5 linked regions of the Macaca mulatta genome follow. The protein of the gene in region 1 interacts with the protein of each later gene in a pairwise test. Links are inferred from orthologs where the notes say so. Each region holds a gene or a part of one and is shown in the gene's direction. Other genes may lie near its edges. The genes, in order: P4HA3, ZC3H12A, NUTM1, MAGEC2 and NDN.

Region 1 (5,443 bases):
TAGAGTGATGAGAAAAAAAGTTATTTTCTTATCTGTGAAATCCTTGAGTATTGGACCCCATCTTGCTTTTGTATCCCTAGAATCTAGCATGGAGTCTGACATCTAGCAAATAACTAGTGTAGATTGACTTACTACAAATATATCTCAAGCCTCTGTGCCTTTGTACACTAATGGTTCCTGTTGGCTTGAAAAATACTCTTCTTCTCTTCTTTGTTCTAGCTCCTTAAGAAACCATATAGCATAATCAGCTGAGAACTCAGGTTTCAGAGTTAGTCAGACTTGGGTTCCATCCTGGCTTTGCCCTTTACTAACAGTGTGGCTTTGTTTCTGTTTCCTCTCCGTGGAATGGGTAAAATTAAATCTACACTAAGTGTAGGTCCGAAGGTGGGGGGCGATTAAATGAGACAACCTATTTATAGCGCTCAACAGGCCAATACATGGTAGGAGCTCAATAAGTCATAGCTTTCAGTATTTTAACAAATCCGTTCAGATTCAGATCAAATGCCATCTCTTCTTGGAAGCCTTTCCTTCCCCCTTCTAACTCCCACCTGGGTGAGCTGCCCTGCCTGCACAGCTGCAGCATTATATGCTCACTTCTCTCATAGCAGAGACGTCCCCAACCCCTGGGCCAGGGACTGGTACCAGTCCATGGCTGGTTAGGAGGCGCCCCCCGCCCCCCAGCAGGAGGTGAGTGGTGGGCAAGGGAGCATTACTGCTTGAGCTCCGCCTCCTGTCAGATCAGTGGCGGCATTAGATTCTGATAGGAGCGTGAACCTTATTGTGAACTGCACATGCGAGGGATCTAGGTTGTGTGCTCCTTGTAAGAATCTAACTGGTACCTGATGATCTGAGGTGGAACAGTTTCATCCCAAAACCATCCCCTAATGCCCCTGGTCCGTGGAAAAAATTGTTTTCCATGAAACTCATCCCTGGTGCCAAAAAGGTTGGGGACCACTATATAGCACACATCACAGTGGCTATAATTAATTCAATAGTGTTTTTGAGTTTCTACCAGATACTAAGTATTGCATATACAGTGATGACAGGAGAAAAAGACTTTGTGATCCCTTTGAGAGCTGGACCCTGTCTTGCCTTTATATCTCTAGCATGGTGCCTGATATACAGTAATTGATTAATATAGACTGACTCATTCAATGAACAAAAGAGCAGACCTACTTTTGTTGTATCTATAGTTTTCATATTCTTTGTGCTTGCATGGCTTTTTGGTTGGACTATTATGTGAATCTCAAGAGGTTCAGCATGTCAATGTTAGCTACTCTTAATGTACACACACCATGCCAGCTTTCCCTAGGTGTAGTGGTCGTATCAGGAGGTGAGATCATTCTACTCCTTTCTTTCAGATTCTATGACAAGGTACTTTCTTTGCATGAGGATTCAACAACCCCTGTGGCTAACCCTCTGCTTGCATTTACTCTCATCAAACGCCTACAGTCTGACTGGAGGAATGTGGTACATAGTCTGGAGGCCAGTGAGAACATCCGAGGTAATGAGGAGGAGGGCTGGAGGGTAAGAGAGAAGATTCTATCTCCTGACTGGTGGTAAGGAGAGAGATTCTGTTGGGGTGTGATTTCAAAGGGTAATGGAGTAGGTGGGTATTACTTAATATCCTTAGTTCTAGCTAGCACAAAGAATTAGCCCCCCTTGCTAATCGGTTTGTATGATTATACATTATACATTATACAATCCTGTGACGAAGTACAAGATAAATCCTTCCATTTATATATGTATAGAAAATAACCGTCTTCTAGTAGTTTCTGTTTCATTAAATTGTCACTACAGTGTCATCTATAGCAAGATCACTTTCCCAATTTATTCTGCTTTGTGCTTTAAGAAGTTTGTTGACGGCCGGCCCAGTGGCTCATGCCTGTAATTCAGCACTTTGGGAAGCTGAGGTGGGCTGATCACTTGAGGTCAGGAGTTCCAGACTGGCCTAACCAACATGGTGAAACCCCGTCTCTATTAAAAATACAAAAATTACCAGGATGTGGTGGGATTACATGCCTGTAATCCCAGTTACTCAGGATCTGAGGCAGGAGAATTGCTTGAACCCGGGAGGCAGAGGTTGCAGTGAGCCAAGATCGCACCACTGCACTCCAGCCTGGGGCGACAGAGTGAGACTGTCTCAAAAAAAAAAAAAAAAAAAAAAAAGTGTTGACTTTTGGGCTGGGCGCAGTGGCTTATGCCTGTAATCCCAGCACTTTGAGAGGCTAAGATTGCTTGAGCTCATGAGTTTGAGACTAGTCTGGGCAATATAGCGAAACCTATTAAAAATACAAAAATTAGCCAGGCATGGTGGCACATGCCTGTAGACTTGGGAAGCTGAGGCACAAGAATCGCTTGAACCCAGAAGGTGGAGGTTGCAGTGAGCTGAGATTGAGATTGCACCATTGCACTCTAGCCTGGGTGACTGAGCAAGACCCTGTCTCAAAAAAAAAAAAAAAAAAAAAAAAGAAGTTTGTTGATTTTTGGAAAGCTAACAGTGAGAAGAGGCTGGGTGCGGTTGCTCTTGCCAATAATCTCAACACTTTGGGAGCCTAAGTTGGAAGGATCACTTGAGGCCAAGAGTTTGAGACCAGCTTGGGCAACATAGCAAGACCCTGTCTCTACAAAAAAATGTATTTAAATTAGATGGATGTGATGGCGTGTGCCTGAAGTCCTGCCTACTCAGAAGACTGAAGTGAGAGGCTCACTTGAACCCAGGAATTCAAGCACGAGCTATGACCATGCCACTGTACTCCAGCCTAGGCAACAGAACAAGATCCTATTTCTATTAAAAGAAAGAAAGAAAAGAGGAGAGAAGAGAGAAAAAAAGAAAAGAAAAGAAAAAGAAAAAGAAGAGTTGTTTCCCTAAAGAGCAAGACTTCTGGAGACATACAGGATAGGACAATATAATGAAGCCGTGTGCCTTAATTTTTATTCCTCATTCACTCATTCTGAATGTTCCTCATTCAGAATTGCATTAAGCATCCACCCTGTGCCAGGAACTGTGCTTGCCTCTGGGAACACAAAGACAAATCCAACTTGATCTCACTAAATATTTGAACAGGTGGTCATGCCTTGCATGTATTAAATGCCCAACTCCTGTTTCTTGAATGACAGGTTGATGTTTTTACTACTTTTACAGCTCTGAAGGATGGCTATGAGAAGGTGGAGCAAGACCTTCCAGCCTTTGAGGACCTTGAGGGAGCAGCAAGGGCCCTGATGCGGCTGCAGGACGTGTACATGCTCAATGTGAAAGGCCTGGCCCGAGGTGTCTTTCAGAGAGTCACTGGCTCTGCCATCACTGACCTGTACAGCCCCAAACGGCTCTTTTCTCTCACAGGGGATGACTGCTTCCAAGTCGGCAAGGTAACAATATTCGAGAGAGGACCAGTTGCTTGGCTCTGGTTTCTTATGGATGAAATACCTGTGTCCCAATTGCTTTTACTTCTTTTTAATACTTACAGTAAACTGGGAAATTTGATATTTCCATTTTCAGAGAAAGAAAACAAGATTCAGAGAATGTAAATAATTTGCCCTAAGATTATGCAATTTTAAGTGCAGAACTAAAGCTTGAACCCAGTCTTGACTCCAAATCTCAGGGCCTTTCCATAGTAATAAAGGTGTTTATATGCTTAGGACACTCTTGAGATTGAAAGGGGTGTTATTAATTATGCTAGAACAACAGACATGAACTGGGGAAAATGGTCCTTTGGTCACCCTAACTATAGCACCCGGCCAGTGCATGAACCCTTGGGTAGAAAGGGAAATCAGGGGGTCAGGGACACAAGGTTGGGGAAAAGGATAAGAGATGGTGATGGAAAGGTAGGATCATGGAAACAGCCTCCTGAGACTTTCTGGAATCCAATGCAACATTTCCTAAGCATTTAGAAATACAAAATTAAAATAGTGTCCAAAATCTAAGGCCATTTGCTTTAACATTACTTGAGGAAATAGACTTCAGGAACACCCCCCCACCCATCTGAGGTCTTTAACCGATCTTTGATTATAAGTTGTAATCACACTTGAGATCATTTTGTAATATACTCTTTGCCAGCCTTTGCCATAAAAAGCAATGGAGCAAATCCATTTTACCTTTGAAGGTGTTTATTGCAGTAAGGTGTATTTTTCCTGACACCTACAGTATTTGTCAACAGATCTGGGAGTGGGTCTCATGTGTCCTGATTCCAAATTTTGGGAGTCAGTCTTCCAAATTAAAGCAGAGTGGGCTGCTTGAGTCTCTCTACTTACCGTTTTCTCTTTTATGGGATCCTGAGCGGAATCAGAGCTCAATCATCATGTTCATGGCTGATTTAAATTTAAGCCAGGTAAATAGTTTGATGTATGGTACTAACATATTCTTCATTAGTGAGGCCTTTCTGAAAGTAAAGCCATATGTTGAAAATTTAGTAAGTCACTTCCTGGAAGTCTTACTGGCAATCTTTCTTTCTGTATTTATTTACTTATTTTGAGAGAGAAAACTTTTCAAATATAAGAAAAGGACATAAAATAATATAGCAAGCAATTATATCTATCATTGTCATGGATATATGTTCAGATTTTGCTATGTTTGTTTCATTTTTTAAAATATATTTTTTAAAAAAAAAACATGTTACATACAGCTAAAACCCCACTCATCCTCCTTACCACTCACCCCACCCCTTCTGCTCCACCCTTGCCCAGGTAGCCGTGATCCTAAACCATATAGTATATGCCCTTCTGAGTCCAGCTTCTTTCACTCAGCACATTGTATCTGTGGAATTCATCCATATTGTATCATTTGTTAGTAGTTCATTTCTTTTTATTGCTGGGTAGTATTCCATTCTATGAATATGCCACAAACTGTTGATCCAGTCTTCTGTTAACAGATTCTTGGATTGCTTCCAGTTTGGGCTACTGTGAATAAAGCTTCTGTTAACATCCTTTTATGTCCTTCTATGGACATTTATTCTCATTTCTCTTGGATGAATACCTGGGAGTGGTATTGCCAAGTCACAGAATAAGCTTCAATAATTATCAACATGTGGCCAAATTTGTTTCATCTATACTTCCCCAATCCCTTCCTCTATGGATTATGAAGTTTCTAGTTTATGAAATTCTTTTTTTTTCTTAGGGTTTGGCTCTGCCATCCAAGTAAGTACAGTGACACAATCATGGCTCGCTGCAGCCTTGATCAAGTGATCCTCCCACCTGGGGGGACTCAAGTGATCCTCCCACCTCAGCCTCCCAAGTAGCTAGGACTGCAGGTGTGCCCAACCATATCCAGCTACTTTTTAAATAAGGGTCTCACTGTGTTGCCCAGGATGGTCTCGAACTCCTGGCCTCAAGTGATCCTCCTGCCTCAGCCTCTCAAAGTGCTGGGATTACAGGCATAAATCACTGCACCCAGCCTATCTTCTGAAATTCTTAATTGTCTAATTCCATCATCATGCTATTGTGTCTG
Region 2 (6,068 bases), on another chromosome or scaffold:
CTCACAGAGGACATGACATCATCCAAATGATGAATGGAACTGGCTAGCAAGCAGCTGGGTGGCAGGGAAGGAAGGATACTCTGAACCAAAGAAGAAGCAGAGCAGAGGCCCGAAAGTGTCTGCAAGGCACTGGCCTGTGCCTACCACCCAGTGAGCACTCTATAAATGGGAGGCATTATCTCCGTGATTGATTAGTATTGTCATTATCATTATTAACCTGGACACATCACTTAATATTTTTACTATCGTAAAGGTAGTTACTATAGCAAATAAATGCTTAACATAACTGAGCTCGGCCGGGCGCGGTGGCTCAAGCCTGTAATCCCAGCACTTTGGGAGGCCGAGGCGGGTGGATCACGAGGTCAGGAGATCGAGACTATCCTGGCTAACATGGTGAAACCCCGTCTCTACTAAAAATACAAAAAACTAGCCGGGCGTGGTGGCGGGTGCCTGTAGTCTCAGCTACTTGGGAGGCTGAGGCGGGAGAATGGCGTGAACCCGGGAGGCGGAGCTTGCAGTGAGCCGAGATCACGCCACTGCACTCCAGCCTGGGAGACACAGCGAGACTCCGTCTCAAAAAAAAAAAAAAAAAAAAAAAAAAAACATAACTGAGCTCTTCTCATCTGTAAAAGTGGCTTTTGTGAGGTTAGGGGTGCGGCCAGCACTGTACTCAGCTGGAGTGACAGCAAGCATGTGAGGCGCCCAGCAAGGGATGTGAGCTGTACATGGCAGGGGGCCTTGTGTTTCCTCTCTCCTCAGGTTGCCAAGCCCCTGGAGCTGCTGTGCCTGGGGGGCACAGAGAAGGGAACACTTTGGGGTCTTCAAAGATGAGCAGGCAACAAAGCAGGAACACGGCTAGGTAGGGGCAGGCAAGCCCCGAGGAACAGCCTCAGGGCCCAGCTAGAGACGCACATGCCTGCCTCCCTGAGGTCTTTGGTGGCCTCCCAAACAAGCAGGTGTGGATGGGGAGATGGACTGCCTTGGAGAGAGCTACATGAGTTCCAGCTCCACCAGCCCCCAGAACCTGAGCAAGTGACTTCACCTTTCTGAATCTCTGAACATGCATTTCCTCCGCTGTACAACTGCATTAAGATACATACAAGAATATCCAAAGCACAGTCTTTCTAATAGAAAAAAAATCCTAGAAACAACATCCAACAACAGGTGAATGAATAAGTAACCAGTGGGATATTCATAAAACGGGACACTATTCAGTAGTAAAATAAATTACAGGTATGCAGGCAATCAAAATGGATTTTTGAAAATATAATCCTATATGAAAAAGGAAGTCACATAATTATGGAATGATTCCATTTACACAAAGTAAAAAACAGCAAAACTATACAATATCCCATTTAGGGATGCATACAAAGGTGGTAAAACTACAAGAAAAGCAAGAGAATGACTAGCACAATTAAAATTCAGGAAACTAGTTCTTCAGGATGTCGGGGGAAGGCTGTGATGGGGGCACCCAGAGGGCCTCAAGGTACTGGCACTGGTCTATTTTTTAAGTTAAGTGATGGATACATGGCTTTTTAAATTATTACTATTATCCTTTAAGCTGTACATGTACAGTTGTGTCTATGGTGTCTTTTATAATAAACAAGTATTTATTATAACACTAGCACTTATAGGACACATGCCTATGATGAAGTAGAGAGAATGTAAGAAAGGACTGGCACATGGTAAGCACTGATGGCATGCGGCTCTGTCCTCCAGCGTGTGGGCCCTGTGTTTTCTCTCTCTCTCTCTCTCTCTCACACACACACACACACACTGGAAGCCAGGCTCCCCTCTGCCCTCAATCACCCGTGGTTCACAAAACGGCAAATAATAGGAGCACTAGAATAGGAGCTCTCCATCCTGGTTCGAGTCTTTCCAGCTGGGGCAGTTTAGCCTTTGCAGAATTTCTCAAGGGTAACATCAGCATAATGACCTCTGTCTGTAAGCTCGCGAGTAGCTACAGTGAAGTGTTGTGCTCATGCGAGAAATCAGGTCTGACCTGGGAAACTAAAAGCATCTTCACGGAGCAAGGGTGTTCCTCCAGTGGGGGCGGTCAGTGAGTTCTGCGGTGTGGGTGACAGAATTCTTGTGTGGACACTCATGTGGTGATTGGGGTAAATGGCCCTCTTTTGCCTGGTTTTCTGCCTCGGTCATTGTGCATCTGCTGGTTGAACCTGCCTTTCGGTCCTAGTAAGGTACAGATTTCAGGAAAAGTGTACCTGTCCCTGGGGGTGGCCCACCTCTGTGTGATGGCTTCAAGCACAGCGTGTCTTGAGGGGGCCTGACTCCATCTGGAAAGGGTCTGTCTGGATGTACCTGTCTTTATAACCATGGACCTGCCTCCAAGGTGCGTGGACCAACCTCTGTGTACCTGATTCACTCGATGCGCACCTGGCCGTAGCTTCATCAGGCAGGGTGTACCTGTCAAGTTCTTAGGTCCGAGCGTTCGCGGCTTTACTCGTCCTGGACGCACCTCGGTCAGTGCGTCCCCGGCAGGTACGTGTACCTGGTTCAGTCCGTGCTTATCTTGCGCGTTCGGGCCGCTCAGTGTCCCGCTCGGAGCTCATCGCCGCCGCGGCCTTGAGGCGGCGTCCCCAGGACCCTGACGCCCTGGTTGGCCCCGTCCGGCGCGCAGCGGCCGCGGGGGCGGGGCCGCGACGCGAGGGGCGGAGCAGGAAGGGACTCGAGGCCCCGCCCCCAGGGCGGTTCCGGACGGCCCCGCCCCTTGCCCGCTTCCGCGTCAGCGCTTCACCACCACCTGCCCGCGCGCCGCCCCATATAAAGGAGCCGCTGGCCTTTCCCCCGGGATTCGGCCCCATGGAGACGCCGCCGGCCGCGGCTGGCGCTCGGCGGGGTGAGGCGCGGCGGGGCGCGGGCCTCGGCGGGGAGGCGGCAGGGAGCGCTCTGGCGGGGTCCGAGCCGAGCCGAGCCGAGGGGAGGGGAGGAGTGGGGAAGGGCGGGGTCCTGTTATCCAGCCCGCCGGGCCTCAGTACCCCTCCAACTTAGCCCAAGTTGAGAGAGCCGGAGAAGAGCACCGGATCGGGGACCGAGCGGGCTCGGGTCTCGGGCCGGGACAGCCTCGGCGTCACCAGCTCCCGGCAGCCAACCAGAGTTTCCCAGCAACTTTTCTCCCCGCGGGTCACCCCGGAAACTTGCCCTCCCCGGCTCCGGGAGTCCGGCCACGGGCCTTGCGCTGCTTGGGCCTGAGCTCTGAGTGCTGGACGGGTGGGCGAAAGCGATGGCCTCAGTGGGGAAGCCCCGGGCCTCGCGACGCACTTCCAACCCCAAGATTCCATCTGAAAACCCCGTCCCGCCTTCTGGGCCCCCTGGGTTGGCGTGGGGATTCGAGTCTTTCCAGCTGGGGCAGTTCCAGTCTTAGTTCAGACTAAGTTCTGATCTTCGAGCCACCAGCTAACAGCTGGATGACCTTGAGCAAGTTTTTAATGTCTGTGGGTCAGTTTCTCCCTTTATAGAATGGGAATGGGAATGGGAATGCCTAGCTGGGAGAGCTTTTGAGAGGACAACCTGAACTAATAACATGATGTAGTGTGTAGTGCCACCCATCCCTCATCTGCTGGGTGTGGTGATGGGAGGGAGGGTGGGAGAGAGCGCTATTCCCCGTCCCTAACCCTGTTGGTTGTTCAGTAGGAGCTGTGGTGTGGTGCCTTCCAGGAGTCTGAGCTATGAGTGGCCCCTGTGGAGAGAAGCCTGTCCTGGAAGCCAGCCCCACCATGAGTCTGTGGGAATTTGAGGACAGCCATAGCCACAGCCGTCAGGGCACCCCCAGGCCAGCCCAAGAGCCGGCAGCTGAGGAGGCCTCGGCGGTGGAACTGCAGATGAAGGTGGACTTCTTCCGGAAGCTGGGCTATTCATCCTCGGAGATCCACAGCGTCCTACAGAAGCTGGGCGTCCAGGCAGACACCAACACGGTGCTGGGCGAGCTGGTGAAACACGGGACGGCCACCGAACGGGAACGCCAGGCCTCACCGGACCCCTGCCCTCAGCTCCCTCTAGTCCCGCGGGGTGGGGGCACCCCTAAGGCTCCCAACCTGGAACCTCCACTCCCAGAGGAGGACAAGGAGGGCAGTGACCTAAGACCAGTGGTCATCGACGGGAGCAATGTAGCCATGAGGTAAGTGTCGCTTCTGTGGCCGAGACACATGAGGTTCGCATCTCTCTTGTGGCCAGGACACATGGAAGGATGACTGTCTGCAGCTCTGGTGGGCTGGAAGGAGTGACTGTCTTCTTAGGGACTGGTCTAGAGGGAGGGAAAGCCTTTTATGAGGCTTGCCTAGGGTCGTGCTACTGGTGACAGAGGCAGGGTTCCAGCCCAGGTCCCTCTGTCCACAGAGCTCGCCTTATGCTGTGGGTCCCTCCCTGAGGCCAGCACTGTCTCGGCTCCTCTTCTGTAATGTGAGGCAGGGCTGTAAAGGGGACCAACCCTTGGGCAGCAGCTCACTCACCCTCTGAACCTGATCTCCTCAGGTGGGTGTTGTGAGGAGGGGTTATGCGGATCCTGGAGAGGAGCAAGCGTTCGGGAACCAAAGTAGTGGTAGTAGGCAGTGGTAGTAAGCAGTTGTTGTTGTTGTTATTTCAGGGGCTGGGCTTCTGAGGCCTTCTTGTCTCAGACCTAGGCTCCCACAAAAACAGGTCCAGCGACTATGTCCAAGAGTGACCTCAAGGCTAGGTCCAGTTTTACATGGGTTGTGGGCCAGTGGCCTAATACTCTGGCCTCAGGTGAGCTGCGACTTGGATCCCCACTGATTCAGCTGAAGCAGCCTGGGCTGGACTGGTCTCTGGAGGTTCCCCGGGGCCAAAGCCAGGACTCAGCCCCCAGTGACTCCCACCCCCATCCCCAAGCACAGGAATGGGGTGGGAAGGTAGGGGCAGAGGGGGAAGCCAGGGCTGCTGCTGACCTTGGGGAACCCAGACTTCTCCTGTCAATCCAGGCCCCACCCTCCGGCCTAACTTTTTCCCAGTTCCCTCCAAGGCAGGCTGATGAGTCAGTGTTGGGTGGATGGCTCACAGGGAAAAGTTCCTGTTGGCATGGATGGGGAGACCCCAGACACGGGGTTGGGAAGGGCTGCTTTTCTGGCTGCCCCGAGGGAGCTCCTAGGTGGGCTACCCAAGGCTGGCATGACATCGGCCTCTGCCCTCTCTGATTTGTGGCCCCCGTGGGACAAGTTCACTGTCCAGCTGGCCCTGGCCCGGCTCAGCAGGCATGCAGCTGAGGCCTCTTCCCTCCTTCTGTCACCTTCAGGCCAGTCTTCCTCTCTCTGACTTGGGCTGAGCCTGGGTGGGAGGCTGAGAAAATCCAGTTTCTATGCCAAGAGGCAGCAGGTTACAGCCTGTGCTTCGAGATTAGGGGGGCTCCCTCTCAGTGTCCAGCCTCATGTGGCTGGGCTAGGAGCTAGGTTGGATCTGTGTGACTCCTTCCTCTGGAGGCGTGGGCCAGGAGCGGCTGAGCCCTGGGAGCAGCCGAGTGCGGTGTGTGTTTGTATCCAGAAGGAGGAGGGACATGGGAGGAGGGGCTGTGATGTTGGGGGGTGCTCAGAGGAGCCTGCTCCTGAGAAGCAGAGCTACGCACCCACCTCGGGGGTTTCTGAGCTGGGGTAGTGGCAGGAGGGGAATTCCAGCCTCAAACTTCCTGTCTCAGCTGCTACTCGGTTCCTGCCCCGGCCACCCTCCTCCCCAGGGGCAGGCGGGCTAGCCCCCATCCATCATATGCAAATTATGGGGAAATTCACCTCTGTTTCCTTCTAAGGGAATTTTTCTCCACTCACCAGGCCCAGCCCAGGCATATCTTTTCACCTGGGGAGGCTGGCCCAGCCCTGCCCTCTGTCCTGGGGCAGGAGCAGTCTAGCTGGAGTCTTCTACACACACTTCCTATCAGTGTCTGCTTCGCCAGGCTGGGGGACCCTGACCTTACGGGCAAAGAGGACTGGGGTGGGGGCAGGGATGTCTGGTTTTCCTGTGCCAGCAGCGCTTCCTCCAGTGCAGTGAAACAGACTAAAGCTAGCTGTAGGGGGGCACTCCAGGCCTCATGTGCTGTACCAAGAGGGCTC
Region 3 (6,080 bases), on another chromosome or scaffold:
TTATTTGAAAATAATCTGTCTTCTATTAATTATGACCCCAGTGGAGAGATTTTTTTTTCTTTTCAGCAATCCACAACTATCCTGAACTTTTCTGCTGGGATGGTCAAAAAACAAGATCCAAGACAAAGTTTGGCCGGGCACTGTGGCTCACACCTGTAATCCTAGCACTTTGGGAGGCCAAGGCAGGAGGACAGCTTGAGCCCAGGAGCGCAACACCAGCTTGGGCAACATAGTGAGACCTCGCCTCTATAAAAAATTAAAAAATGGAGTGGATCGCTTGAGCCAGGGAGATAGAGGCTGCAATGAGTCGTGATCACGTCACTGCACTCCTGCCTGGACCACAGGAGTGAGACCCTGACTCAAAAAAAAAAAAAAAAAAAAAGTCTTTCCAGGGCATGTCTTCATAAATCACATCTGTCTGTGCTAATTTAAGTTATATCTGCTTCTGGAATCTAGAATTTTTGATATCATAGAAAATAAAGATTGCAGAATTAAAATACAGACTCCACAAAACAATTTTAAAATCTATAGCACTAGGCCGGCCAAGGTGGCTCATGCCTGTAATCCCAGCACTTTGGGAGGCTGAGGCAGGAGAATTGCTTGAACCTGGGAGACGGAGGTTGTAGTCAGCCACCACTGCATTCCAGCCTGGACAACAGAGTGAGACTGTCTTAAAAAAAAAAAAAAAAGCCCACCACTAAATCAATGAGTTCAAAGATAAGTTAATAAGGAGAAAAATCAGACTAAACAGGTTAAGTAACTTTCTCAAAGTTATACAAAAAGGAAATATTGGTCTTCTTTCAATTCACTGCCTTCTCTCTATAATATACCTATTACTTTTTCAAGTACTCTTCCATTTTTAATCAAAATGTTATTTCAAGGGATGAGAAATTACGTGACAACAGGGGTATTTTTCAGTGAATGCTGACAGCTGTGAAAGTCTTAATCTTTCTTCCCCAATACCCTCCTACCACTAACAGCACATGACCACTCTTGCTACAGGACTGAAGTTTTTCTTCCAAGTGGTGTTGTTGCAACTCTCTGGAGTGCTCTCGTCCATCATCTCCCTCCCTTTAAAACAATACTACCAATCCTTTCCTCCAACAACACAAAATAAGAGCTTTTCAAATCATTTTATCTTTAATAATCTGGTAGTAACTTAAAATACGAAAAAAAAAGTCAAACGTGTTCCCTTTATGGGTGATGCCACCATGACTGCCTCACACAAGCATGCTCAATCACCAGGATGAGACTGGATGCCACAGAGTATGGCTGGCAAAAAGGCATCAGGGCTCACAGACTGAGGAGTTTGGTTACGGAGTCTCCGAGGGGTAACAGGCCGCAGAATAGACATCAGTTTAAGGGGCCTTCAGAGGACAGGGCGCGGTTGCTGGGTCATGAGCACCTTGAAGCGTTTCTTGATGGTGATTCGGTGTCGAGAGTATTTGTCATCTGGGGAGAACCGAGCAGGATGGGCTGAGCAGGTCTGTTGTCCCATCGGGTCAAATTTCTGCTCCGGGAATAGAGAATGTATGTCAGTACAGGAGTGATGGGGTGGGGACAGCGCGAAAAAGGGCAAACATGAAAACAGAAGATGCAATGATCAGCTCAAAAAGTTGTACAAATAAATAGAGAAATACAAAACTTAAAAAGGCTGGGCGCGGTGGCTCACGCCTGTAATCCCAGCACTTTGGGAGGCCGAGGCAGGAGGATGGCTTGAGGTCAGAAGTTTGAGACCAGCCTGGGCAATATGGCGAAACCTCGTCTCTACAACAAACAAACAAAACCAACCAACCAAACAAAAAAACCCTAAACCAAAAATTAGCCAGGTGTGGTGGCGCACGCCTGTAGTCCCAGCTACTCGGGAGGCTGAGGCAGGAAGATTGTTTGTGCCCAGGAGGCGGAGGTTGCAGTGAGCCGAGGCACTACAGCCTAGGCAACAAAGCGAGTCCCTGTCTTAAAAAAAAAAAGAAAAAAAAAGAAAAAAAAGAAAAGTGAGTGCAATGGCGCTATCCGGGTTTACTGCAAGCTCCGCCTCCCGGGTTTAAGCGATTCTCCTGTCTCAGCCTCCCAGGTAGCTGGGAAAACAGGCGCACGCCGCCACGCCCGGCTAATTTTTGTATTTTAGTAGAAACGTAGTTTCACCGTGTTGCCCAGAATAGTCTCTAACTCCTGAGCTAAGGTAATCCACACGCCTCGGCCTCCCAAAGTGCTAGGATTACAGGCGTGAGCCACTGCGCCCGGCCAATTTTGTTTTTTTAAAATAAAAAATTCGTCGCGCGCTCCCGGTTCTCCCCCACCTCGGTTCTGCACTTTCTGGTTCCCTCCACCCAGCTAGGTAACTCCGTGTATGGCCTCACCCATTCCTCCCATCTACATTTCTCGCCATGCCTATTTACAACCTATTTTCTCTCCTCACCTTCAGCGTATAGACCCGATCTCCCTCCTCGTTGAGGTAATACTGGAGAAACATGACTGCTCGTAAGCCAGAGGTCCCAATTCGCTCCGCTGCTCCGTCTGCAGGGGTCCGCCCGACCGCGTCACGTGTTCGTCAATTTCCTTCCTGCATAGCCGGAAGTCTCTCTCCTGGCACGCCGGAAAATGTAGTCAATTTTTGCCTTATTTTCAGCTAGCCAGAAGGGGGCGCACGAGGGCAGGGCTTGGCTTGGGGGGCCACACTTGCAACTTTGCAGGCTAAAACACGTGGAGTGTGCCTACTGTGTGCTAGGTACACGGCGCTAGAGGGGGGTAGGGATGGATGTGGATAGAACATTGACGTATAGAAGCTTGTCTTTATCTCAAGATACACACCCCTTTCAGGAGCAGTGAGTTTCCAGTGCCTGAAGAAACAAGGGCTCCAGGATTCAGAGCCCCTTTGCCCTAGGGAAGAAGGAAGAGGTTTTCTTCCCTCCCCTCTTTTACATCCAGTTTCCCTGCTCCATTTCAAAGCGTTGGCGGTAAAGAATGCATGTTGAGTATCAATATTCCGTAAAGCGAAAATAGCGTAAAGTTATTTTATGAAACGAAGTATGTTTCAGCGGTCGAACCAAGATTTAAACTTAGGTCCCTACCGCAAATTCAGCGCTCTTTCTTATAGTGGTGAGTAGCTAATAATAGCGTAATAAAGTGCACCTTCTAGGAGATTTTACAATTTTTTAAAGAATATAGAAGTTCTCCTTATTCGTTTAAAGAAATGAAAATGAGAACCAAAATATAATTACAAAGATCATCATTACGCCTTATTTATAATGACAAAAGCGTTGGCATATATGTTGTGTAACCAGAAAAACCTGCAAGGTTTTTTTTTTTTTAGAATATGGTTTGGCCGGGCGCGTTGGCTCACGCCTGTAATCTCAACACTTTTGGAGGCTGAGGCGGGCGGATCACAAGGTCAAGAGTTCGAGACCAGCCTGGCCAATCTGGCGAAACCCCGTCTCTACTAAAAATACAGAAAAAATTAGCTGAGTGTGGTGGTGGGCGCCTGTAGTCCCAGCCACTTCAGAGGCTGAGGCAGGAGAGTCATTTGAGCCGGGGAGGCAGAGGTTGCAGCGAGCTGAGATAGCGCCACTGCACACCAGCCTGGGTGACAGAGTGGCACTCCGTCTGAAAAAAAGAATATGGTTTGTGACCGGGTGCAGTAGCTCAGGCCTGTAATCCCAGCACTTTGAGAGGCCGAGACAGGTGGATCACAAGGTCAGGAGTTCAAGACCAGCCTGGCCAATATGGTGAAACCCCGTCTTTACTAATAAAAATACAAAAATTAGCGGGACGTGCTGGCGGTCACCTGTAGTCCCAGCTACTCGGGAGGCTGAGGCAGGAGAATCGCTTGAACCCGGGAGGCGGAGGTTGCAGTGAGCTGAGATCACGCCACTGGTCTCCAGCTTGGGTGACAGAGCAAGAGACCCTGTCCCAAAAAAAAAAAAAAGATATGGTTTGTATTTACTTGTAGTTGAATAAAAAATCTCTGCAAGTATTCACAAGAAACAGATGATACTGGTTTCCTCTGAGATAGAGAACCTAGTTACAGGAGAAAGGGGTAAGGGGTGGGAGGCAGACTTATTGCTATGTATTTTATTTTGTAGTTTGATTTTTGAACCTTGCTGATGTATTACCTGTTAAAAATTTTTTAAAGGCCGGGCGCGGTGGCTCATACCTCTAATCCCAGCACTTTGGGAGGCTGAGGTGGGTGGATCATGAGGTCAGGAGATCGAGACCATCCTGGCTAACACAGTGAAATCCCGTCTCTACTAAAAATAGAAAAATTAGCCGGGTGTGGTGGCGGGCGCCTGTAGTCCCAGCTACTCAGGAGGCTGAGGCAGGAGAATGGTGTGAACCCGGGAGGCAGAGCTTGCAGTGAGCAGAGATCATGCCACTGCACTCCAACCTGGGCGACAAAGCAAGACTCTGTCTCAAAAAAAAAAAAAAAAAAGTATGTCTAAGTAGTTAATTTTGTTAGAAAGGAAAAGGATGATTTCAGCCTTCAGGTCTTATTAATGAAAGAGTCTTTAGAAAAGAGAAAAGATATCTCAGAGAAAGCAAGAAAGACGCCATGAACCCCAGGGAAGGTCTTTTGGGGGAAATCCACGTTTGGATGAAGCTGTGGCTGTAGAGGATGGTCTGGGAATTACTGGCCTGAAATAGTCACCAGGAACCTTAGCAGATACATTTTATTTTTAAAATTTAAACCAAAATAATTTAACAAAACGAAGGACTTTCTACTCTTGAGGTTTTAAACTGCATGGCAGCTTTTTTATTTAGTGAGGCTTTTCAGCAAAGGGTAAGGCTTCTGTGGAGTACAGAGCCTATGCTAGTAGATTGGACAGCTTTCCAAGGAAATGATGTGCACACAGCAATCGAGCACCTTGGATCATCTGACAATTCTAATTTTAGACTTTAGTTCCCTTGATCCTTAAGTATACAGACCAATGTGGTCTGAATTTAGTTCAGAAAATATAGCCATCATTGGATTAAGTCAGGGGTCTACCATCGACCTGCTGTTAATAGGAAGTCAGTTACAGAACTGGCTGGGATGGAAGGACACAAAATGAGATATGTTGGTGAAGAATTGAAGTATAGGGAACCAAACTCAAAACAGTAATGTGTTGGGAATCTGAGAAAGAATTTACAAATAGCCCTAAAGGGCGAACATCAGTTGTGTTGCCAAACTGTAGTTTGAAGGGAATTCCTGGTTTTTGCGTAGTTACTAGAACCCTTCATGGAATATCTCTCCCCACCCTCACCCCACTTTTCCCTCTCCCCTCCCCCACAGCAGACTGCCTTGAGTTCCATATTCTAGTTCTGTTTGATCTGATCTTTACCTTCCCTTCCTTGGATCCCTGTGCACCTACTTGGAGCCAGGTTACTCTGGGTCCTGGACCTGACTGCCTCATTCTGGAGGCTTCCAGACAGCCACGGTTAGTGCCCAAAGCTGAGAGGATGGCTTCAGATGGAGGTAAGTCTTTAGGTGGTGAGGAGGATTTCTGGTACCTGCTCAAATCCTTTGGGACAAGCTCTTTGGGCTGACCTAAAGGAATGCGAGGTGCTACACCCCATCAAAGGTATCCCACTTGGGGAGGCTAGAGAAGGAGACTGTACCATTAAGACTAGGGGCCGGGGAAGGAAGAGGACCTCCTTAAGGGCAGATCAAGGTGTCTCCGAGGACACATGCTGAGTATAGAGAATGGATGGCAATTAGCAACTTGATTCTCTTGAACAGGGGGCACGTCAGCGTGTGTTCTTGTGGTGGGAGAGGGGATCAGAGGTATGTGTCTTAGGACTGGCACCGAGAGGTTTCAAGGGGGAATGCCCACGTTCATTCATCTGTCTCTTTCAGGCAACTGGAGCCTATTCTAGGATTTTGCCATGCTTGAGCCTATGAGGGGAATGGGATGTGGAGGATGGAGGATGGGAGGGTAAGGTGGGAAGGACTTTAGCGGGAAAACATAATCTGTAGTTATCCGTTGCAGAGAAATGCCTTCCTGAAAACTAGGCTGGAATGTATTATAAACTGCCTCTACTCTGGCCGGGCACGGTGGCTCATGCCTGTAATCCGAGCACTTTGGGAGGCCGAGGCGGGCGGA
Region 4 (5,957 bases), on another chromosome or scaffold:
GGTGGAAGGGGGTGAAGAGGTGAGCCATAATGGGTGGAATGGGTAGGGAGGTGGGTAGGAAAGGGTGGGAAGGAGTGGGGAGATGGACAGGAACTGGTAGAAGGGGGCAGAAGGTGAACAGTAATGGGTGCAATGGAGTAGGGACGTGGGCAAGAAAAAGTGGATGGAGGTGGAGAGGAGGGCAGGAAAGGGTGGAAAGAGGTGGAGAGGTGGGGGTGGATCCTCCGCAGAGAGGAGGCCCCCCTCCCTGATGCTGGGTGTATAGCACTCTACACCCAGGAGAATGGCTGACATCTAAAACACTGAAACATCAAATGTTGACATGCATGTTGACCAACAGGAACTTTCAGTCGTTGTTAGTGGGATAGACCTGGAGGACTCATGAAAGCATACTGCTAAATGAAAGAAGAAAATCTAAAAAGGCTTCCTAGCATACCACATTCTGGAACAGGCAAGGATGAATACACTAAAAACATTACTGGTTTCCAGGGGCTGAGGGTTGGGGTTGGGGCAAGGGGGATTGATTAATTAGGTGGAACACAGTGGAGCTCTAAGATAGTGAAACAATTCTGTGTGATAACACAATGATGAATACTTGCCATTACACCCTTACCAAAATTTATAGTATCCTCAGTATTAAGAGTGAGTCCTGATGTAAACAATGGACTTAAGAATGAGGTATCAATACAGGTCCATCAGTTGTAGCAAACATGTCATAATAATACAAAATGTAAATAAAAAGATAGACTCTGTGCGTGTGTGTGTGCAGTAAACAGTGCAGGGCGGGTGGTGTAGACATGTAGGAACTCTAATTCTGATGAAGTTTTCTCTTTGTATTCTTGAATTAACAATGCTCTAAAAATGAAGTTTATTCATCTATAAAAAGATGCAAATGATTTGAATAGACACTTTACAAAAGGGAATATAGCAAACGAAAAAAGAAGCATATAAAAAGATGACCAATGTCATGTCATTAAGAAGATACAAACAAAAACCAAAGAAGGTTCCAATACATGCTTATGAGAATGGCTAAAACCTGAAAATCTAAAATACTAAATGTAAGAGAAGATATAGAATAACAGAATTTCTCATTCCTTGCTAGTTGTGATAAAAAAATAGTACAGGCATACTTTTAAGTCAGTATTTTATGAAGCTAATCATATGACAAATTAGAAAAGTTAAAATTATAGGAACTGAAAACAGAAGAGAGTTGCTAGGAGCTTTGTAGAGTGCAGTGATTGACATCAACCGGGATGCACAGGAGAATTTTAGGCAGGTGGAACCGGTCAGTATGATACTTGATTTGCAGATATGGGACTCCATGCATTTTCCAAAATACATATAACTTCACATTCTAGTTAAATCTGATGTGTGTATTTAAAACTTTAATCACGTATTGTTTTTTTAAAGGGTCACGGGTTGCTGAAAAGACAGTGATTTTTGTTCAGGGACTAGAATAGGAAAAGAAGCAACAATAAGGAAGCCTTGTAACACACAGGCTATGGGAGAGATGATATTAACTTCACTCACAGCAGTAAAGTAGAAAAACTTGGAATGGAATTTAGAAGTTGAAGGAACAAATGTTGCTGTCTGGACAGGAGAAGGAAGGAGTATAGGCTCTTTTAGAAGTAATACCTTGAGAAAGCCATAGGGGCCTTCCCACCCCATTTCAGAGGGCAGTGGAGGCCTGCCTTAGGGCCAGGAGGCCCTATCCCACTGTGGGTGGATGTGATTCTACTTCTCTTCCACCTTGCAGGTCTCAGGGATGGGAGGGGCTTATTCGCAGGTGAAAGACTCAGATGCACAGAGACAGGGAGTCCAGGCCATTTCAGGAGTCCAGGCACAGCCTCTCAGGAGGGCAAGAAGGGAACACCCATGACCGGTAGTGCCCTCTGTCCTGTCCCTGTGCCTGCTGCCAACTCTGGAGGACCCCATCAGGGTCCCCAGATGTACAATTTTCTTACTTCTATTTTGGGAGTCAGCAGAAGGGGAGGCTGTCTCTGAGGAGGGCAGCTTCAGTTAAGCAGAGAGAGAAGTCCCAGAACTGGCCAGAAAACAAGAAGAGATGTGGAAGGACGGTGACCTCCCAACACGGAGGGGAGGTGCAGGCTGCACCAAGTCGCTCCCTGCTGACACCCCTGGAAAAAGGAGGGTGGGATGTCAAGGACTGGGGAGGTGGGAGTGAAAAGGTCCACAAGGTTTAGGGAGTGAGCAGGAAGGGTTGGAGGGCAGCTGGGATGTGGGAAGGAAGGGATGGAAAAGAAGCGGAGAGGTGGGGAGTGGTTCCTCCCCAGAGAGGAGGCCCCGCCCCACGTTGACGCTGCCGTCAGCCCTGGACCACTACGGCCGGGTTCCCGGATGTGCTTTCCAGACGGCCATCTTGGGAATCCAAAGGATCGGAGGCATTTTGCAAGGAGATTCGAATCAAGTCAGCGGCGGGGAGTCTTAGACCTGGCCAGTCCACAAGGTGAGGGCCCTGAGGAAGAACTGAGGGACCTCCCACCATAGAGAGATGAAATCCCGGCCTGCACTGCCGCTGCAGTGGGACTGGTAGGTCCCAGACAGGAAAATGCCCACAGAAGAAGGGAGGAGGTGCCAGCCCTCTAGGGAATAAATAGGAAGACATTGAGGAGGACTGGGGGAACCCCCATCTCAGAGGACAGATTCCCACAGATTCCCACCCTGCTCCTCGAGAATCAGCCCTCGTAGAACTCCCCTGCCAGCTCAGGCTGAGTGGCAGCCATCTCATTTCTGGGTGAGGGATGGAGGGGAGGCAGAGGCCTTGTTCTGGGGGTCCCGTGGCAAGTCAGCACGGGGAGCTGCCTCTGGTTGGCAGAGGGAAGATTCCCAGGCCCTGCTGGCGATAAGACAGAAGACAGGAGTCACATGTGCATCAGAACGGACGTGAGGCCACCCAGACCACCTCCATGGTAGAGTCCTGGGAGGTGGCTGCCACTGCACTACCTCCCACTGCTCTCAGGGATGTGGAGGTTGCTAGGAGGTTTTGCCTTAGGCCAGCAGAGTGGTGGGGGCTTGACCCTCTCTGAGAAGCCGTGAGGTTTCCAATTAAATTCTGAGGGGGCCATGCAGTCCAGAACTATGGGGCTCTGGGATTCTGGCCAGCCCCAGCTGTCAGCCCTGGGAGGCCCAAGACTCTACTTGTAGTCTTTAACCTGAGGGGCTCCGTCACTTCCTCTTGCAGGTGCTCCAGGAACCAGGTGGTGACAAACTGGGTGTGAGGCACACATCCTAAAGTCAGCACAGCAGAGGAGACCCAGGCAGTGCCAGGAGTCAAGGTGAGTGCACACCCTGACTGTGTACCAAGGGCCCTACCCCCAGAAACAGAGGAGACCCCACAGCACCCGGCGGTACCCACCTACTGTTATTCCTGGGGTCTCAGGCTCTGCCTGCCAGCTGTGCCCTGAGGTGTGTTCCCACATCCTCCTACAGGTTGCCAGCAGACAAACTCCCTAGGAAGACAGGAGACCTGTGAGGCCCTAGAGCACCACCTTAAGAGAAGAAGAGCTCTAAGTTGGCCTTTGTCAGAGCCATCATGGGTGAGTTTCTCAGCTGAGGCCATTCACACTGTCACTCTCTTCCACAGGCCTGTTGGATCTCATCATCCATATCCCTGTTGATACCTTTACCTGCTGCGCCTGAAGAAGTCGTTATGCCTCCCATTCCGGGCGTTCCATTCCACAACGTTGACGACGACTCTCCGGCCTCAGTTGAGTCAGAGGACTGGGTAGATGCACAGGATCCCACAGATGAGGAAGAGGAGGAAGCCTCCTCCATTTCCTCTTCCACTTTCTACTTAGTATTTTCCCCCTCTTCCTTCTCCTCATCCTCTTCTCTGATTCTTGGTGGTCCTGAGGAGGAGGTGCCGTCTGATGTGATACCAAGTCTTCCCGAGAGCACTCCCAGTAGTCCTCCACAGAGTCCTCCACAGGGTCCTTCCCAGAGTCCTCTGAGCTCCTGTTGCTCCTCTTTTTCATGGAGCTCATTCAGTGAAGAGTCCAGCAGCCAAAAAGAGGAGGATACAAGTACCTGTCAGGGCCTGCCAGACAGTGAGTCCTCTTTCACACATACACTAGATGAAAAGGTGGCCGAGTTAGTGGCGTTCCTGCTCCTCAGGTACAAAGCAGAGGAGCCTGTAACAGAGGCAGAGATGCTGATGATTGTCATCAAGTACAAAGACTACTTTCCTGTGATACTCAAGAGAGCCCGTGAGTTCATGGAGCTCCTTTTTGGCCTTGCTCTGATAGAAGTGGGCCCTGACCACTTTTCTGTGTTTGCAAACACAGTAGACCTCACTGATGAGGGTAGTGATGACGAGGGCATGCCGGAGAACAGCCTCCTGATTATTATTCTGAGTGTGATCTTCATAAAGGGCAGCTTTGCCTCTGAGGAGGTCATCTGGGAAGTGCTGAATGCAATAGGGGTGTATGCTGGGAGGGAGCACTTCATCTATGGGGAGCCCAGGGAGCTCCTCACTAAAGTTTGGGTGCAGGGGCAATACCTGGAGTGTCGGGAGGTGCCAAACAGTTCTCCTCCATATTATGAATTCCTGTGGGGTCCGAGAGCCCATTCAGAAAGCATCAAGAGTAAAGTACTCGAGTTTTTAGCCAAGCTGAACAACACTGTCCCTAGTTCCTTTCCATCCTGGTACAAGGATGCTTTGAAAGATGTGGAAGAGAGAGCCCAGGCCATGACTGATACCACAGATGATGCCACTGTCATGGCCACTGAAAGCCTCAGTGTCATGTCCAGCAACCTCCCCTTTTCTGAGTGAAGTCTAGAATAGTTTCTGCGCTCTGTGTTTGAACAAGGCAGTTTAGGTTCTAGGTAGTGGAGGGCCAGGTGGGGCTCGAGGAACATAATGTTCTTTGCATTTCTGTCCCATATGGGCGATGTGGAGATTTACCTGTTTTTCAGTACTTTTTGAATGCTTTTCCTTTGAATAGCAGGTAGTTAGCTTCAGAGCATTAATTTATGAATATTGGTCACACATGTATTGCTGTTTATCTGGTTTAAGAGTAACAGTTTGATATTTTGTTTAAAAAAAATGGAAATACCTTCTCCCTTATTTTGTGATCAGTAACAGGGTAGTGTGGTATTGTAATAGGCTTTTTGTTTGTTTGTTTGTTTGTTTTTTACAATACGCAATAACTCAGCAGTTAAATAGTGGGACAACGTGAAGGATGGTCAATATTTTCATTTCCTTGTCCTGCTTATTCTTTTGTTCTTGAAAATTAAAGATATATACCTGGCTTTGCTTAGCTTGTTGAAGAAAGTAGCAGAAATTAAATCTTAATAAAAGAAAGCCCCACTGACTCCTTTATTTGCTGAGCATTCTTTCAGTATTTGCTTGTGGAAGTCACTGTTAGTAGTGGGGATGCTAATGAAAGCATGACTTATCTCTATCCATAAAACAGTAGAGTCTAGGAGCAGAAGCCATATCAAGAAGGTGGTAAGATGTTCTCTACAATCTAAAGAACAAGTTAAAAAGGGGCTGGGGAGGTGAGACTCCACATGCAAGCCTTCAAGTGTAAAGGTCTTGAACTAAGGCAGCTTGGGGCTTTGGAAAACTGCACTTGCTTTTCTGAGGGCTGGTAGTTACAAAGCTGGGTGGTGGCTGGGACCAGACTCTCGGAGGGTGAGGGAAGAGCCTGGAATGGGAAATTGCTCTGAGCAGTTGCTTCTGGGTGGAGGATGAAGCAGAGAGGAGTCTCCACATGGGGAAGTAATGGAAGGTGTCCTGTGGCTCTGTAACTGGTGAGTTTGAACACAGTGCAAGAACCAGGTGATTGATATCCATCATCTGCAAGGGTTTCCTGAGAAATGTAGTGATAATCCCTTGAAGTGGTGCCCAGAAGCCTCTAGGCTGACTCACTTACCTGGCGTGGGAGAGCCAGAGCCTACTCCATGGAAAGGCCATTTAATTAGGTGATTTTGAA
Region 5 (5,626 bases), on another chromosome or scaffold:
TATTGTTGTCATGCCCTAAAGCTTGTACTTTAGTTTCAAGAATCCATTACATCTCGGAGGGTGAAATGTGAGAATGTAGTTTGAATGAGATCACAATGTTAAAAACCATAGCCTACGGCCAAAGCTAAGTTGAGATTTAAATAGTAGGTTCAAACACTTTTATTATTAAAAAAATGTCAAACGAACTAAATATTTTTTTCTTTATGTATTTAATTTTTGAGACAGTCTTGCTCTGTTGCCCCGGCTGGAGTGCAGTGGCATGCTCTCAGCTGACTGCAAATTCCACCTCCCAGGTTCAAGTGAGTCTCCTGCCTCAGCCTCCCAAGTAGCTGGGATTAAGGGCATCTGTCATCACACCCGGCTAATTTTTGTATTTTTAGTAGAGACAGGGTTTTGCCATGTTGTCCAGGCTGGTCTCGACCTCCTGACTTCAGGCGATCTGCCCGCCTCGCTTTCCCAAAGTCCTGGGATTACAGGCGTGAGCCACCGCACCTGGCCTAAATATTTTATTTAAATAGTTAGAAAATAATACATACCCAAATAAAATAAAGAAGAATATTGATGGAGATTTAAATGCAATAAATGAGGATTATATTTAAGAAGCATGGGGGCAATAAGTCTGTTCAAGAGACATTTTTTTTTTTTTTTTTTTTTTTTTTGAGACGGAGTCTCGCTCTGTCGCCCAGGCTGGAGTGCAGTGGCCGGATCTCAGCTCACTGCAAGCTCCGCCTCCCGGGTTTATGCCATTCTCCTGCCTCAGCCTCCCGAGTAGCTAGGACTACAGGCACCCGCCACCTCGCCCAGCTAGTTTTTTTGTACTATTTAGTAGAGACGGGGTTTCACCGTGTTTGCCAGGATGGTCTCGATCTCCTGACCTTGTGATCGGCCCGTCTCGGCCTCCCAAAGTGCTGGGATTACAAAACAATGAATTAGCATATTTCTGTAAGATGCTCCCAAGAAAGTGGTAAATATCCATAAATAGAGGAAGGAGAAGGAGAAGTAGACGGAGAGAAGAAGGACGAGGTGGAGGAGGAAGAGGAGAAGGAGAAAAGTGTTGAAATAATTCCAACTAAGACTGATATCTAGGAATTACCCTGGTGAAGTGGGAAGCTAAAGAGCCTGTTGGAAGGACTGGTGTGGGAATGGCTCTGCCAAAAGTGTTATGTGCATGCAAACCCAAAGAGAGAGAGCACAGAAAACCCTTCAACATCAACCTGCTTGAGGAAAAATAAAGTGACAAGTGGGAAAAGATACATACTCACAGCGAGGACTCTAGACATGTTAAGACAATTTTTAAATGTGCTTTTGGCTTCGAGTGGCAATAATTAGACTCAACATATTTAAGAAGCTACTGATGAGAAGAAACGCTGGAAGCGCTGAAGGACCACATCAGCCCAGACCAAGGATGCTGAAGCAGCATCAAGGCCCTTGGTTTCAGAGGCTCCACCAATGACCCTTTTTTCAGGGAGACCCTGTAGGAGCGAGTTTTGTCTTTGCCCAGTGGGAATCTGTCTTCTATACTTAGAAAACAGGGTTACCCATGTTGCCCCTGCTACCCTTGGGTCATCTCAGAGACACTACCAGATATTACCTATGAGACCTAGTTGTTTTTTTTTAAATCTCAGGAAGGACTTGGGTGTGGCTTCCAACGTGGAGGACTCAGTAGCTTCAGAGAGGGTCCTGGGAGAAGGTGAATCGGAGAATAAGGGTGCTGGGCAGAGGGAAAAAGACATTATTATACAAGTTTGTGCTAAAAGATATAGCAATCCTTCTGCTGTGGACTAAGTATGGAAAAAAATAAAATGGAATCAAAGTGACCCAAAGGAAATGTAAAACTCAAATTTATGCCCACTAAAGCATTAATGATGCTCTAAGTCCGCTGCCTACTTAAAAGGTTCATAGTTCACATGGGTTGACAGGAAATTACGTTAAGGACACGCTGCATTTCTCCTTTTCTTACAACCCCTCTGATTTGGTAGGGAGGGAGTCAATCATTTTTTTATTGGAATTTCTCAGGATTCCAACTTCAGACATACACTTTACACATTTTCTTGGACAAGCCCGACTGTTCCTCTCACTCGTTCGCATAAAGCTCAAGTTTACACAGCCGCCCAGACCTTTCTCTGGGACGCTCATATTTAACTTAATTCTGGATATATCAGGTAAGCGTTTCCCAAGAAACTTGACCCCAACATCCCAAAAACTTAAGTTATCATCTTTCTCCTAAACTGGCCCCTTCTCCAGTACGCATCCATCGCACTCTTCTCCTGCCCTAGATCCCCTCAGCCCAAACGGGAAACCCCGGGATCGCTCTCTCCGCAGGTGAAGCTTAGCCAGGGACCCTCCCCGTCGGGGCTCCGCGCTGCCCCGCCCGCCCCCAGCCGCTGGCCAAGGCCGCAGTCGCGCAGGCGCAGTGCCGCGTCCCGCCGCCGCCCCGCCCTGCCCGCCGCTGCGGAAGGCGCCGCGCACAGCAACGCGCACTTCCTCTCCAGGAATCCGCGGAGGGAGCGCAGGCTTGAAGAGCTCCTGGACGCAGAGGCCCTGCCCTTGCCAGACGGCGCAGATATGTCAGAACAAAGTAAGGATCTAAGCGACCCTAACTTTGCAGCCGAGGCCCCCAGCTCCGAGGTGCACAGCAGCCCTGGGGTTCCGGAGGGGGTTCCTCCGTCCGAGACCCTGGCAGAGCCGCAGAGCCCTCCTTTAGGCCCGACGGCCGCCCCGCAGGCCGCGCAGCCTCCCCAGGCCCCGAGCGACGAGGACGACCCGAAGGCCCTGCAGCAGGCCGCGGAGGAGGGCCGCGCCCACCAGGCCCCGAGCGCGGCCCAGCCCGGCCCGGCCCCGCCAGCCCCGGCGCAGCTGGTGCAGAAGGCGCACGAGCTCATGTGGTACGTGCTGGTCAAGGACCAGAAGAAGATGATCATCTGGTTTCCAGACATGGTGAAAGATGTCATCGGCAGCTACAAGAAGTGGTGCAGGAGCATCCTCCGGCGCACCAGCCTCATCCTCGCCCGGGTGTTCGGGCTGCACCTGAGGCTAACCAGCCTGCACACCATGGAGTTTGCGCTGGTCAAAGCGCTGGAGCCCGAGGAGCTGGACAGGGTGGCGCTGAGCAACCGCATGCCCATGACAGGTCTCCTCCTCATGATCCTGAGCCTCATCTACGTGAAGGGCCGCGGCGCCAGAGAGAGCGCGGTCTGGAACGTGCTCCGCATCCTGGGGCTGCGGCCCTGGAAGAAGCACTCCACCTTCGGGGACGTGCGGAAGCTCATCACTGAGGAGTTCGTCCAGCAGAATTACCTGAAGTACCAGCGCGTCCCGTACGTGGAGCCGCCCGAGTACGAGTTCTTCTGGGGCTCCCGGGCCAGCCGCGAAATCACCAAGCTGCAAATCATGGAGTTCCTGGCCAGGGTCTTTAAGAAAGACCCCCAGGCCTGGCCCTCCCGATACAGAGAGGCTCTGGAGGAGGCCAGAGCTCTGCGGGAGGCTAATCCCGCTGCCCACTGCCCTCGCAGCAGTGTCTCCGAGGACTAGCCAAGTCTGGAGGCAGATGAATGCTTTCTGATCCTCACCAGGGCTGTGGAAGGGTGGGGGTGGGTCATTAGAGTGTTCAGGATTTACAGTGCAGTATTCACGTGTAACTTTTACGTTTTCAGTACAGTGCTTTTATACCTTTAATGCAATGTTGTGTTCATTTGGGTACTATTGTGTAGTATTTAGGATGTATGCATGTTTGTTTATATGTAAGCTTGGTTGGTGCTTTCGCTTTTGTGGTACCTTTCTTGGATTTTTGTATCAGAGACGTGCTAAACTGATGAAGTACATTGAGAACGTTTCCATCTTATTAATTTACATGGGACTGAGATGTGTGTTGGGGTAGACTGCTCCTGCAGAGTTTGGAAAAACTCACCAGCAAAGCCGGCCTAACCAAGAAATGTCAAGGCCCTCATGACCTTGCTGGGGACTGAAAACATCCTCGTGGAGTAAACTAATTTGAACTGGACTGGTCTCAATGTGAGAGCACTTGGCACACTTTACTAAACACATATACAACCCCACCGTGAGTCAACTTTAAAGTAAACATTAAAGATTCTTGTGATACAATCATTTCTGGAAGTGTACGTTATCATTTTAACAAAGCAGTATGGTTGGGAATGAGACAATTCTCTGTTTTACAGTATACACAGATATAACTATTTCCCCTAATGGGGTGGGAAAAATCGCTACTCATGATTACTCCTAAATTTGTGAAGTTTGTAGTTTTGTCTTTAACTCATGTTTATTTCAAAAACATGCACAAATATAGAAAAGCATAAAAAACAAAACAGTAAGATTGTCCATAATCACATCCTATGGGAATAAAAACCAAAAATAATTTCCTTCCCTTAAGTTTCTACATTTTATCAAAATTAATAGATGCTTTGTGGGCACTTAAAGAGTGAGACATTGTACATGAGCCCTGACGTGTATTTTTCTCCTTTTATCTAATCCTCACAACAGGCCTGTCAGGCAGGCAAGAACTGCCTCTGCACCATGGAGGAAACACAGGAATAATGTAGGTAATGGACTTTCCATAGCTCATACAGGTTAATAAGAGAAGGCGCTAGGACTAGAACTCACAATGAATCCAGAGTCCACATTTGTCCCCACCTGCCTTCAACTCCCCTACACCCTGTGGTTTTTAGGTTATTTATTTTTAACTTTATATTGAAATTTCATGTGGGAGCCCACACTCACATGGGTTCATGGGCCACACATACAAAAAGGCTAGGAATTTTATTTTTCTAATTCTTAGGATATTTTGGAGAAAGCAATATCATTCTGATTCTGCAAATTAAGAAACTTACTTTTGGAGAGATTAATTAACCTAATAAAGTGATATTCCTGTTGAGCAGTGAAGCTGGGATTGGAAACAATCTTTCCTGAGGGTTGGAGGTGAAGGTGCTTTCTCTGACAAACACACAAGACACCTAAGAGAGGGAGGTGGGTTGCCCATCAGGATGTCTCGGGCCTCGCAGCCCTTGAGTTGCGGTGAGCCACTAGGTAATCCTCAGAGGATGGGATGGGCTGCAAGTGGGCTTTAGGGGCAATGCCTGAAGGAAAATCTCATTGTGAATTTTTAGTCCTGCAAGGGGTAAGGGGGACAAAAGGGGCTTTAATAAGAACAGAAGTCCTTTAAACTACAAAAGAGTGGGAAAGACCATTTGGCCAAAGCCAGAAACTTTTCTGTGGAAGACTAATAATGAAGAGGACACGTGTCACATAACACCTCAAAGAAGTAAACTGGGAGTCCTATTAGGGTGAGGGAATTATAATTTGGATTGGGAGCTGGAATTCCCAACACTTACTGGCATTACTTAACAGGTGGGGGCGGGTGCTGGAAATGCTGAAGCCCCTGTTCGTGCTGAGATGAAATCCATCCCAGTTTAAAAGCTTCTGGTGAAGTCTTTCAAGGGGGTTCTGTGGGGAAAGGGGGACATTTCTGCAATCACCCAGGCAGGAGTGACCTGGCTTTGATGGCACCTCTTACACAAAACCAATGTGAACGTCTCACCTCTTCAAAAGTGTTAGGATTGTTTAGAAATCTTACCTCCCCACAACCCATCAAAAAGTTTCTCCAGAATCAAAA

What was found.
Region 2: the proteins of P4HA3 (region 1) and ZC3H12A interact in binary tests that used the Homo sapiens proteins (3 or more experiments, as listed by UniProt). The two-hybrid records come from large-scale screens. The link is inferred for Macaca mulatta from reciprocal best matches to the Homo sapiens genes P4HA3 and ZC3H12A.
Region 3: the proteins of P4HA3 (region 1) and NUTM1 interact in binary tests that used the Homo sapiens proteins (3 or more experiments, as listed by UniProt). The two-hybrid records come from large-scale screens. The link is inferred for Macaca mulatta from reciprocal best matches to the Homo sapiens genes P4HA3 and NUTM1.
Region 4: the proteins of P4HA3 (region 1) and MAGEC2 interact in binary tests that used the Homo sapiens proteins (3 or more experiments, as listed by UniProt). The two-hybrid records come from large-scale screens. The link is inferred for Macaca mulatta from reciprocal best matches to the Homo sapiens genes P4HA3 and MAGEC2.
Region 5: the proteins of P4HA3 (region 1) and NDN interact in a two-hybrid assay, tested with the Homo sapiens proteins (2 studies listed by BioGRID). The link is inferred for Macaca mulatta from reciprocal best matches to the Homo sapiens genes P4HA3 and NDN.

Annotation. Positions count from the first base shown.
Region 1 is NC_133419.1:74,710,979-74,716,421, reverse strand, and holds part of P4HA3 (prolyl 4-hydroxylase subunit alpha-3), read left to right. Parts: intron 1-1,361; coding exon 1,362-1,504; intron 1,505-3,145; coding exon 3,146-3,369; intron 3,370-5,443. UniProt on the Homo sapiens protein: Catalyzes the post-translational formation of 4-hydroxyproline in -Xaa-Pro-Gly- sequences in collagens and other proteins.
Region 2 is NC_133406.1:203,322,045-203,328,112, reverse strand, and holds the start of ZC3H12A (endoribonuclease ZC3H12A), read left to right. Parts: upstream 1-2,713; 5' UTR 2,714-2,857; intron 2,858-3,648; exon of another isoform or gene 3,649-3,651; 5' UTR 3,652-3,686; coding exon 3,687-4,135; intron 4,136-6,068. UniProt on the Homo sapiens protein: Endoribonuclease involved in various biological functions such as cellular inflammatory response and immune homeostasis, glial differentiation of neuroprogenitor cells, cell death of cardiomyocytes, adipogenesis and angiogenesis.
Region 3 is NC_133412.1:11,535,068-11,541,147, forward strand, and holds the start of NUTM1 (NUT family member 1), read left to right. Parts: upstream 1-2,484; 5' UTR 2,485-3,017; coding exon 3,018-3,099; intron 3,100-6,080. Other genes in the region: NOP10 (H/ACA ribonucleoprotein complex subunit 3), read right to left, coding at 1,370-1,510, 2,420-2,473. UniProt on the Homo sapiens protein: Plays a role in the regulation of proliferation. Regulates TERT expression by modulating SP1 binding to TERT promoter binding sites.
Region 4 is NC_133426.1:148,496,806-148,502,762, reverse strand, and holds MAGEC2 (melanoma-associated antigen C2), read left to right. Parts: upstream 1-2,353; 5' UTR 2,354-2,467; exon of another isoform or gene 2,468-2,550; intron 2,551-3,202; 5' UTR 3,203-3,296; intron 3,297-3,604; 5' UTR 3,605-3,670; coding exon 3,671-4,792; 3' UTR 4,793-5,258; downstream 5,259-5,957. UniProt on the Homo sapiens protein: Proposed to enhance ubiquitin ligase activity of RING-type zinc finger-containing E3 ubiquitin-protein ligases.
Region 5 is NC_133412.1:6,263,350-6,268,975, forward strand, and holds NDN (necdin), read left to right. Parts: upstream 1-2,451; 5' UTR 2,452-2,565; coding exon 2,566-3,531; 3' UTR 3,532-4,372; downstream 4,373-5,626. UniProt on the Homo sapiens protein: Growth suppressor that facilitates the entry of the cell into cell cycle arrest.